3 linked regions of the Sus scrofa genome follow. The protein of the gene in region 1 interacts with the protein of each later gene in a pairwise test. Links are inferred from orthologs where the notes say so. Each region holds a gene or a part of one and is shown on either strand. Other genes may lie near its edges.

Region 1 (3,500 bases):
TCTCCCATTCAGAGATCTTTGATTCTAAACCAAGAGATGGCATGTATCAGTATGTTAGAGTCATTTTTCTTGACTCTTATTTGTATATTGTCCTTTTCCTACTTTTGTTAAAGCAGCTCATAAGTAAAATTCACATATTGTTATAGGCATGTTTTGTCACTGTGTACCTTTTTTTGGTGTATGTGGTAAAATGACAAAATTTTTGTATGTAAGTGCACAGTACTCTAAAAGGAAACTATACTTTTACAGCTCATCTTTTTCTTTCAGCACGTAGAAAATCTAATTGTGTGAAAGAAGTAGAGAAGTTACAAGAAAAACGAGAAAAAAGGAGACTACAACAGCAAGAACTTAGAGAAAAAAGAGCCCAGGTTTGTAAAAGAAACACTTTGTTTATGCACCAACCAAAGATTAGGCTGTTTCAGTGAAAGTGATTGGCTTATGAAAAATAATTGTGGCATTCATTTAAAGATTTCAATATGGTTCCTTAAATCGATATTGAAAAATAATATAAACTATTGGGGAAGTAACTTATCATGACATATTTTCACTACATATGCTTTTCAAGTTTTAGTGGGTATGTGTTAGTCCTAAAGCTTACTCCATTTTGAATATTAAGCCATTGTGTTACAGAACTCTGATGGAAGTATAACATCAAGAATAATAGGATTTGGGCTTTTTAGAAGATCTAAAAACACATACAGAAAAAATACCCAGTTAAAGTGTATGGTTATACTATAAATTTTTTAGTTGTTTTTGCATGGTTAATAAGTTCAACATACAATGAAAGGGTGGAAATTCATTGTTTTGACTTATATTAAATGTTGACTTATACTAGGTGTTGTGTTCCTCCTCTCACGTTCCCTTTAGATGGTAGAATTTTATTAGCAACGGAAAAATTGCATAGAAGACTGGTCTTTTTATCCTTCTACAGGTCTTCACATATTAGAAATTCTGCTCTTGTACAGGTGATCATCCATTGTGCTTGCATTGTATCTGCTATATTCTTAGAACTTGTTTCTTGTAATAAAACATCAGGATCGTTTCCTTATTTAGGAGTACGTATGTTCAGATGACCTTAATCATAAAGATGTCATGTTGTAAAACTGTGGAATCCATATAATATTCAACCAGAATAAATCAGCTTCTATCTGAAAGTGACCTGAGAATGATCAGTTGAGTTTTGAAATAGTGCACAAAACAGATAGATCTGCTGCTACTTAACAAAGATGCCACCTGGTGTTTCCTGTGGGTACTTTATAGTATTTTTTTTCATCTTTGTGATCTCTTCTTACTTTAATTCTGCTTCTCACTTGACATAGTTGGTATTATTTCCCAGAAGTTTAATTGAAAGTAAGTTATATTTACAATTTTGAAATTTTATTGTACTCAGCAAATCTACATATAGTATATGGAAAAAATCTGGATTAAAAAAATTTTTTAACTACTCAATGAATTTATTACATTTATAGTTGCACAATGATCATCACAATCCAATTTTATAGGATTTGATAATTTATTACTCGTGGCTTGGAGATGCCACAAACTTTTGCTATTTGTATCTTAATCTGAATTTTCTCACTTTTGGAGCAAAAAGTAAACTGATGCTAGTGTTCAGTAATTGAATTTTAAAAATTATCTTGGCTTTTGATGCTTTAAATTCTGTGTCCTATTGATTTAGGAATGTTTTATACCATGTCTTAGTTTTTTTGTTTTTGTGTGTGTTTTTTTTTTTTTTTTTTTTTTTTTTTTTTTTTTTTTTTTTGAGAGAGAGTCAGTAGACGCTGGGAATGAACATAAATGAATCCATAGTTCTACTTTGCTGGAACATTGAATTAGGAATTGAGAAGAATCTGACTAAATGAGGTTTCTCTAAGTATTTCAGCTTTTCTAGAGTTCTTTGTTAATATTTAGGATGAGCACTCTTTCTATTTTACTCAATTTTCTAAGATAATTAAGGTATATGTATAATAGATGAATATTTGAAATAGGTTGAGTGGCCTTGATAAGGAGTATTTGGTTTGGAGTTAACAGAATGCATATAGACTAGCAGAATTGTGTTTCTAATATGAGAGTGATTCCTGGGTGTATTATTAATCTTAAATTCTGGAACTATCACATCTCCAGCTTGAATTTGGACTTGGCTGTTACAAATGACACAATTTATTAGCTTGAGTTTAATTTTCAAACCATACAATATAAATGCAACAAATACTACATTATTGTAATTACAATAGATGATGTGTTCTCTTTTTCTTCTTACAGGATGTTGATGCTACAAACCCAAATTATGAAATTATGTGTATGATCAGAGACTTCAGAGGAAGTTTGGATTATAGACCATTAACAACAGCAGATCCTGTAAGATTTTTTGCAAACAATTACCTGGAACTTTTTATGCTATGAATAAAAAGATGTTTAAAACCCTCTAAATTAATATTGTCTTTAGCTCTGTATTTTTTCTTCTCCTTATTAGTGCTCCTCCATATTTTAAGAAAATCGAGAAATCCATCCACATTCACCCTTGTTTCCAATGATTTAAAATGTTAGACATGCTTCTAACTTTAATTCTGCTTCCATTTCAAAGCAAAGCCTCCATGTGCTTGGTAGGGCGGAGCCACAGTCAAGGAGTGATGTTAGAAGTGTTGAAAGACCCAGTTTCCTTTCTGACCATCATTTATACTTTTATCTCAATTCCAGACTTATTTCCTCTTTGACTTGGGCTGATGATCCTACCATCAATCCAAGTTACTACTAATTAATTTATTATTTTTAAATAAATGCTATTCTGGCTTTTAACAATAAGTGATGATTGTTGAGGACTGCTGTAGACCAGAAATCTAGTGCTTGAAAAATGTTAGGTTGTCTTATCATGCAACCCCTTTCCTACTGAACAATGAGAACTTATTGTACAGGTAATATTTTTGTGAGTAATTCATACTTAGGAAAAATAATCTGTCTGACCTAGCATATACGGAATGTATGGAGTATACCAAACACACTTGTGTTAGGCAGACATTATGTCTGATTTAATAGAATAGTTCATGAAATTTGCATCTCATGTACTTTAGTCCTTGCTACTCCTCCATTTATTTAACCTACATCTGAGCTCATTCTTTACCACAGTGAGCGGCAAAATCTATTTGAAAAGGGCCAGATATTTTAGGCTTTGTGAACCAAATGGTCTTTGTTAGAACTACTGATTTTGACCTCTGTAGTATGAAAAGCAGCCATAGGAGTTCCCGTCGTGGCGCAGTGGTTAACAAATCCGACTAGGAACCAGGAGGTTGCCGGTTCGGTCCCTGCCCTTGCTCAGTGGGTTAACAATCCGGCGTTGCCATGAGCTGTGGTGTAGGTTGCAGACGCGGCTCGGATCCTGCGTTGCTGTGGCTCTGGCATAGGCCGGTGGCTACAGCTCCGATTGGACCCCTAGCCTGGGAACCTCCATATGCCGCGGGAGCGGCCCAAGAAATAGCAAAAAAAAGGTCTACAAACAATAAAGG
Region 2 (3,500 bases), on another chromosome or scaffold:
CTTATGGAAATAGTATGAAATAAAGAAAGTATTTTTGTAGTTGTGTCTATGCTGATGCTATAACTCATACCGAATTAATTTGTGTTTCCATTTTGTGTGTGTGTGTGTGTGTGTGTGTGTGTGTGTGTGTGTGTTGGCTTTATCATATTTTCTATCCAGGTTCTGTGAGAACAAACATGACAGTATTTTGAAAGGCTTTCATATCCCCAGAAGGAAGAAATGACAAAAAGGCAAGACATTGTAATGAATGTTTATGATCTTTTTTAGGAACATGACAGTCTCAAGCCCTCTGTCTCTGCTGAGTCTTGATGATTTATCTTGTTTCCTCAGATTCTGTGCCAGGCCACAAAGATGGGCAGAATGAAGTTGACAGTGCGCCTGAAGACCTCCAGTCTGTTGAGACTAGCAGGCTGCTCTACCACATCACGGATGGTGACAACCCACTGCTGTCACCGCGATGCGCCATCTTCAGCCAAAGCCAGAGATTCAATTTAGACCCTGAATCAGCCCCTTCTCCCCCCAGCACTCAGCAGTTTATGATGTAAGGAAACCTTGTTCTGTATTTATCTTTGTTTTGTGCCATTTTTCAAATACTACGTTTATAAGCCAGAGTGAAGGGTATATCCAAAATAGAGCAAATGTGCCTACCGAATGCACATGCAGCCCTGAACAATGAATGGAAAAAAAAAAGAAAAAAGAGTGTGTTTTCTAGTTGAGAATGCTGCTTCAAGCCTTTCTGTCTCAGGAGGAAATGGTCTCAAGATAACAGGCTCATGTATTTGAACATTTTTGGTGAAATGAGCAGAATCCTAGGAAAATGGATGTACATGCAACTATCAGGAATATCATTCTTGATGTGCTCACTAAGTAGTCTTAGTGACTACTCATTATTATTCTTGATGTGCTCATGTCTTTCCATGTCCAATGGTGGCCTTGATGGCTGGATCGTAGCAATGCTTGGAAGTTGTCTTGTCTCAGTTTCTTCTTAGATTCTAGAAAAGTGGTAGCTCTTATAGCTCCTACACACACACATATTGTGAAACTGTTTTCTTGTTTTTTAAGTTCCACAAGTAGTTCTTTCTTTTCTTTTCTTCACTTGTGGCAAGTAGAAGTTCCCAGGTCAGGGATCAAACCTGCAACACAGCAGCGACCCATGCCACAGCAGTGACAATGCTGGATCCTTAACCTGCTGCACTGCAAGGGAACTCCTTTTTAGAATTTTATTTATTTATTTATTTGACATGTAGTTTTGATGCATAGCTAAAATGAGTCTCCTTCAACTGGAAATATGTGCAAGGAATTTCTAGTTTCTCCTGAATACCTCCTGGTATTATTTGTGAATTTATGCAGTCCTGGGTCCATGGACTGTCTACTGATGGACCTGAGGGAGTGAGTGAGTTATAACTCCTGTAAAGTCTGTCCTCTGAGAAAGTGAACACATTTTTCTGGCAAGGGGGTCCATTCCTTTCAGCAGATTCACAAAGGCTCTGTTACAAGAAAAGTTAACTACTCATCTAAAACTTCCTTGAAAGTGTCTCCAAGCTTGAGGAAATGCATTTCCTAGGCTAATATTCTGACGTCTGTAGACTGAAAAGTCCCTGATAACATTTTCCTGTTCTCTGATCAGGAGCTTCCATTAATGAGTGGATGCTACTCATCAAATAGTGACCTGGCCTCTGGACCTCGCTGTTAATCCAGGAAGCTGGCTTTGTGGACCAGCAGCAGGGTTTACTGGAAGACCGTTTTTTTTGTTTGTTCTGTTTTTCATTTTTAAAAGTTTTATTGAAGGATAGTTGATTTATAAGATTGTAATCATTTCTGCTGTACAATCAAGTGATTCAGTCATACAGATACACAATTCCATTGTCTTTCAGATTCTTTTCCCACTTAGATGATCACAGAACTTTGGGTAGAGTTCTTTGTGCTATATAACAGCTCCTCAAGATCAACATTTTTGGTGATTCTTTCCCTCCCTATAATCATCACAGGCCCCGAAGTTCTTCACGGTGTGGCTGTGGTGAAGGCAAGGAACCACCGACCATTACTCAGCTCACCAAACATATCCAGAGCCTCAAGCGGAAAATTCGGAAATTTGAAGAAAAATTTGAACAAGAAAAGAAATACCGGGTAAGGACCCTGTGGTTTGAAATGAGTGGATTATGGCAGAGGTGTATGGGCTTTCTGTCCTTCCTTTTTGAGCACTTCTCTGTGCTAGGGGATGGCTAAGTTTCCATTGGCCAATGAAGGACCTATCATAACTTGAGTGTCCATCCTGAATCTGTCTTGTTCTCATGTGCTGTGAACTGATCTCTGCTAAGGTGCTTTCTAGTAACAAATTCTAACTCTTATTTCCAGGCTATGTGATTATTGATCCTTTCTTTCTTTCTTTCTTTCTTTTTTCTTCTCTGAGGAACCTATCACTAGTACTCCTAGGACTGAAATTTGGGAAGCTTTTGAATGAGCTCTTACTTTTTTTAACATTTGCATTTTGATAAGAGCCTATTAAGGACCCAAAAGGCAGAATCTCTTAATTGTGGAACAGAGCGAAGGAGAGAGAGTTTTCTTTGACAATAAAATACTTTTTGGTTGATTGATGAGGACATATCAAGGGATGTCTATTCACACCACTCATAAGAACAAACCCTGATCCACCCTTTCCAATCAGAGAAATACTGGGCTTCATGTTGGGGCTGTAGTGTTGCTTTTCTTTTCTTACATAAGAGACAATAGAGTCAGAGGCAAGTGTACTGATGGCAAATGCTAGTTTTATTGATTTTATTTAATGGTGACCATGGCATAGAGAAAAATTATATCCATGTAGAATTGCACAAAGATATTGGCTCTTTGGCAGAGGGCCCAGAACAGTTTGTTATGAGAATAAAAGAACAGGGAATAATGTCTCATAGATCTTGAAATAATTAAAGGCTCACTAAGCACTTGGTGCAGAGGCAATCTGCAGGTCCCTGTAGTGTGAATAGGTTCTAGGGAGGGAGGAGAGAGTGGGTAACATTCCACTCTCCTGTTCTTCCTGTTCTGTTTTTCCCACAGTGGCTTCAATTTCACTAAAAGAGGAATTTCAAGGAGTGGTTTTTCAGCTTTGCAAAAATGTAAAAAAAAATTAGATTGGCTTCCCAGACAACCTTAGGGCATTGAAGATCCTTCTCTTCCTTGAGGTCAATCACAGCTCCTTTCTGTCTTTAAAAGCAAGAGGGCATTCCGCATATTATGAGGATCGGCCTTTATAGTACAGATGAAGAAACAGAGGTCCACCAAAGATGTATAACTTTCTTAAGGTAGTTGTGTTGTGTCAGCTAAGGCTATGGGTTCATGTTAAAGATGGGTAGGTTTTGTGGATTTCCTTTTGTGGCTCAGCAGGTTAAGAACCCTACATAGTATTCTTGAGGATGCAGGTTCAATCCCTGGCCTTGATCAGTAGGTTAAGGATCCTGTGTTCCTGTGGCTGTGGCATAGACTGAAACTGCAGTTCTGATTTGACCCCT
Region 3 (3,500 bases), on another chromosome or scaffold:
GCAAAGAAAGCAGAGAAACAAAATTAGATGGTCCTGGTGAAAATGTCAGTGAGGATGAGGCTCAATCAAGTAATCAACGAAAGAGAGGTTAGTGTATCTGCATCTTCATTTTGATTTTAAATTTTTGAAGAGAGTTGTAGTAATGAAAATTGTATTTAATCAGTTGACTCCTGGTAGTCACCAATGAGTAGTTTGGATTTCTTCAGGATACCATCTACAGTGGTATCTGATTTGCTTTTGTAACATTTCTGAAATCTTAAGCTTTAGTCTTTTGTCTTACAGTCTATATAAAGTAAAAATGGATTGAAATTCCACCTATAGAAATATAGATATATCCTTGGAAATTCGTGTGATCACTATTTTTTTGTCATTAAATGATTTTATTTTGTTTTCTTCAAGCTAATAAGCACAAGTGGGTACCACTCCACTTAGATGATATAAGACCAGACAGTCAAGAAAGACCAGGGTCCCGCAATAGCTCAAGATGTCAACCTGAAACAAATAAATCATCGCATAACAGTAGGAGAACTGATACACGAAGTAAGTAACATACTAAGAGAAAAGGGACTAATTTAATCTTAATGCTTATTATTTTAATAACCAGATATAGTATAAAGTGTTTGAGAGTAAATTACAGACATTGTGCTCCTTTAACCTCCAATACCTTCAGAGTATATAGTATAAGAACTACACTATGCCTGTCCTCAGGCAAAATTTCTCAATAATGCCCTTTACAGTGTTTTTTCTCCTCTTCTTGGATCTAATTTGGGATCACACATGCCCTTAATTGTCTTGTCTTTTAGTCTCCATTCATCTGGAACACATCTGCTTTTATCTGTATAACATTGATTTTTTTCTGAGGACTGTAGAACTATTATGTGGTAACTACACTTTGGGTTTTCTGATGTTTCCACTTGATTGGATTGGGTTATGAATTTTTGCAGGGGTACTACAAAAGTTAAATGGTTTTCTTTGCAGTGCATTATTTGAAAGTATACATGATATTGGTTTATCTTATTATTGGTGTACTAACTTTGAGTACTTTGGTCAACATGAGGCACTCTAGGTTTCTTCATTGTAAAGTTAATCTTTTCCCTTTTTAATTAATGTGTAAGCTGTGTAGAGAGATTTTGAGGCTGTGGGAATACCCATTTTTCTCATCAAACTTTTCAAATGAGTTTTAGTTTCCATTGATTTTTTTTTTATTTTTTTTATTTTTAGGGCTGTACCCACAGCATATGGAGGTTCCCAGGCTAGGGGACCAGTTGGAGCTATGGCTGCCAGCCTACACTACAGCTTATGGCAACACCAGATCCTTAACCCACTGAGCGAGGCCAGGGATCGAACCCGAAACCTCATGGTTCCTAGTCAGATTCGTTTCCATTGCACCACAGTGGGAACTCCCCACTGATTGTTCTTGTTCTTGCCTGATTCAGTTTTTACCATGATTGTTACAAATGGTAATTTGTCTTATTGCATCATTCTTTCTATATGTATTAGTTGACATTCCACTGTGGAGAATAACTTCCTCTTATTAATCAGTGTGGACTAAAGGCCATTTATGTTTTCAGTGATTGAAGTTGTTATTACAGTTGTTTTAACTTGATGCTCAAATTGTCCCAGAATTGTCTAATGGGAGCCTCTTCTAGGTGATTTCTGGATCCTTTGCCCTCCCCCCACCCCCTTTTCCCTTTTCTGGTTGCCCCGAGACATATAACGCTCCAGCCCAGGCAGGAATCAGATCTGAGGTGCAGTTGTAACCTAAGCCTCAGCTGTGGCAACACTGGATCCTTAACACACTGTGCTGGGCTGGGGATTGAACCTGCATCCCAGCACTTGCATGACACTGCCAATCTGATGTGCCACAGTGCGACAGGATTGCACTTTTTTTGTTTATGATATATGTGCACAGTGCGACAGGATTGCACTTTTTTTGTAAGTCAGCTTTACTGAACTAATAATTACATGTATTAAAGTACACTCAAAGGAACTGTCAAGTCTCCAACCATGCATCTACTTTCTGTCAGTTTAGATTTATCTTTTGAGAATTTCATGTAAATTGAATTATACAATATACGTTATATACTCTGGTGTTCATTTGCACAGCATAATCATTTTCACATTCATCAGTTTTATTCTTTTTTAAAATTTTTAATTTTAATTTTTTGCTTTTTAGGACCACACTTGGGGCATATGGAAGTTCCCAGGCTAAGGGTCGAATCAGAACTGTAGCTGCCAGCCTACGCCAAAGCCACAGCAATGCCAGATCTGCGACCTACACCACAGCTCACAGTAACTTGGTTTCCTTAACCCACTGAGCAAGGCCAGGGATCGAACCTGTGTCCTCATGGATACTAGTCAGATTCGTTACTACTGAGCCACCATGGGAACTACAATTCTTTTTTCTCCTAGGGCTGCACCTGTGGCATATGGAAGTTCCCAGGCTAAGGGTTGAATTGGAGCTGTAGCTGCTGGCCTACACGGCACAGCCACAGCAACTCTGAGCCGTGTCTGTGACCTACATCACTGCTTGCAGCAACACCAGATCCTTAACTCACTGAGCAGGGCCAAGGATCAAAATCCCATCTTCATGGATATTAGATGGGTTCTTAACCCACTGTTGCACAACGGGTACTCCTATTTTTAATTTTTAAAAAAATTTTTAGGGCTACCAGTGCAGCATATGAGAGTTCCCAGCTAGGGGTCAAATTGGAGCTACAGCTGCTAGCTTACACCACAGCCATAGCAATGCAGGATCCAAGCCGCATCTACACCACAGTTCCTGGCAATGCTGGATCCTTAACCCAGTGAATGAGGCCAGAGATCAAACCCGCATCCTCATGGATACTAGTCGGGTTCATTTCCACTGAGCCACAGTGGGAATTCCAGTATTATTCTATGTATTAGTAGTTTCTACCTCTTTATTGCAGAGTAGTTTCTCCCTCTCTCTCTCCCTTCTTTCCTTTCTTTCTTCCCTCCCTCCCTCCTTCCTTCCTTTTTTTTTTTTTTTTTTGTTAAAATTGGTTGGCCTCACCCACGGTATGTGGAAATCCAGGGCCAGGGATCAAATCAGAGCCGAAGCAGTGATGATGCCACATAGTTGTGCCGTAGGACACCAGGGAAGTTCCAAAATAGTTTCTGTTGAATGGATACACCCCTTTATCCATTCATCTGTTCATGGATATTTGGTTGCATCTAGTTTTTGGCTGTTATGAGTAATGCTGCCGTGAATGCTTGTGTACAAGTCTTTGTGTGGGCATATGTCTGGAGCAAACATCTAGGAGTGATTGCTATAGGTAGTACGGTAAATATATATTTAACTTTATAAGGAATTGCGAAATTGTTCCAAATAGGTTGTACCATTTTACATTCTCACCACCAGTGTTTCTTTTCTTTTTTTTTTTGTCTTTTTGCCATTTTCTTGGGCCGCTCTCACGGCATATGATATGGAGGTTCCCAGGCTAGGGGTCAAATCGGAGCTGTAGCCACCAGCCTACGCC

What was found. The genes of interacting proteins can lie anywhere in the genome.
Region 2: the proteins of KIF2A (region 1) and FAM13C interact in binary tests that used the Homo sapiens proteins (3 or more experiments, as listed by UniProt). The two-hybrid records come from large-scale screens. The link is inferred for Sus scrofa from reciprocal best matches to the Homo sapiens genes KIF2A and FAM13C.
Region 3: the proteins of KIF2A (region 1) and LARP1B interact in binary tests that used the Homo sapiens proteins (3 or more experiments, as listed by UniProt). The two-hybrid records come from large-scale screens. The link is inferred for Sus scrofa from reciprocal best matches to the Homo sapiens genes KIF2A and LARP1B.

The regions. Positions count from the first base shown.
Region 1 is NC_010458.4:41,068,983-41,072,482, forward strand, and holds part of KIF2A (kinesin-like protein KIF2A), read left to right. Parts: intron 1-267; coding exon 268-368; intron 369-2,262; coding exon 2,263-2,358; intron 2,359-3,500. UniProt on the Homo sapiens protein: Plus end-directed microtubule-dependent motor required for normal brain development. May regulate microtubule dynamics during axonal growth. Required for normal progression through mitosis. Required for normal congress of chromosomes at the metaphase plate.
Region 2 is NC_010456.5:62,642,822-62,646,321, reverse strand, and holds part of FAM13C (protein FAM13C), read left to right. Parts: intron 1-330; coding exon 331-541; intron 542-1,988; coding exon 1,989-2,127; intron 2,128-3,500.
Region 3 is NC_010450.4:96,838,943-96,842,442, reverse strand, and holds part of LARP1B (la-related protein 1B), read left to right. Parts: coding exon 1-87; intron 88-399; coding exon 400-540; intron 541-3,500.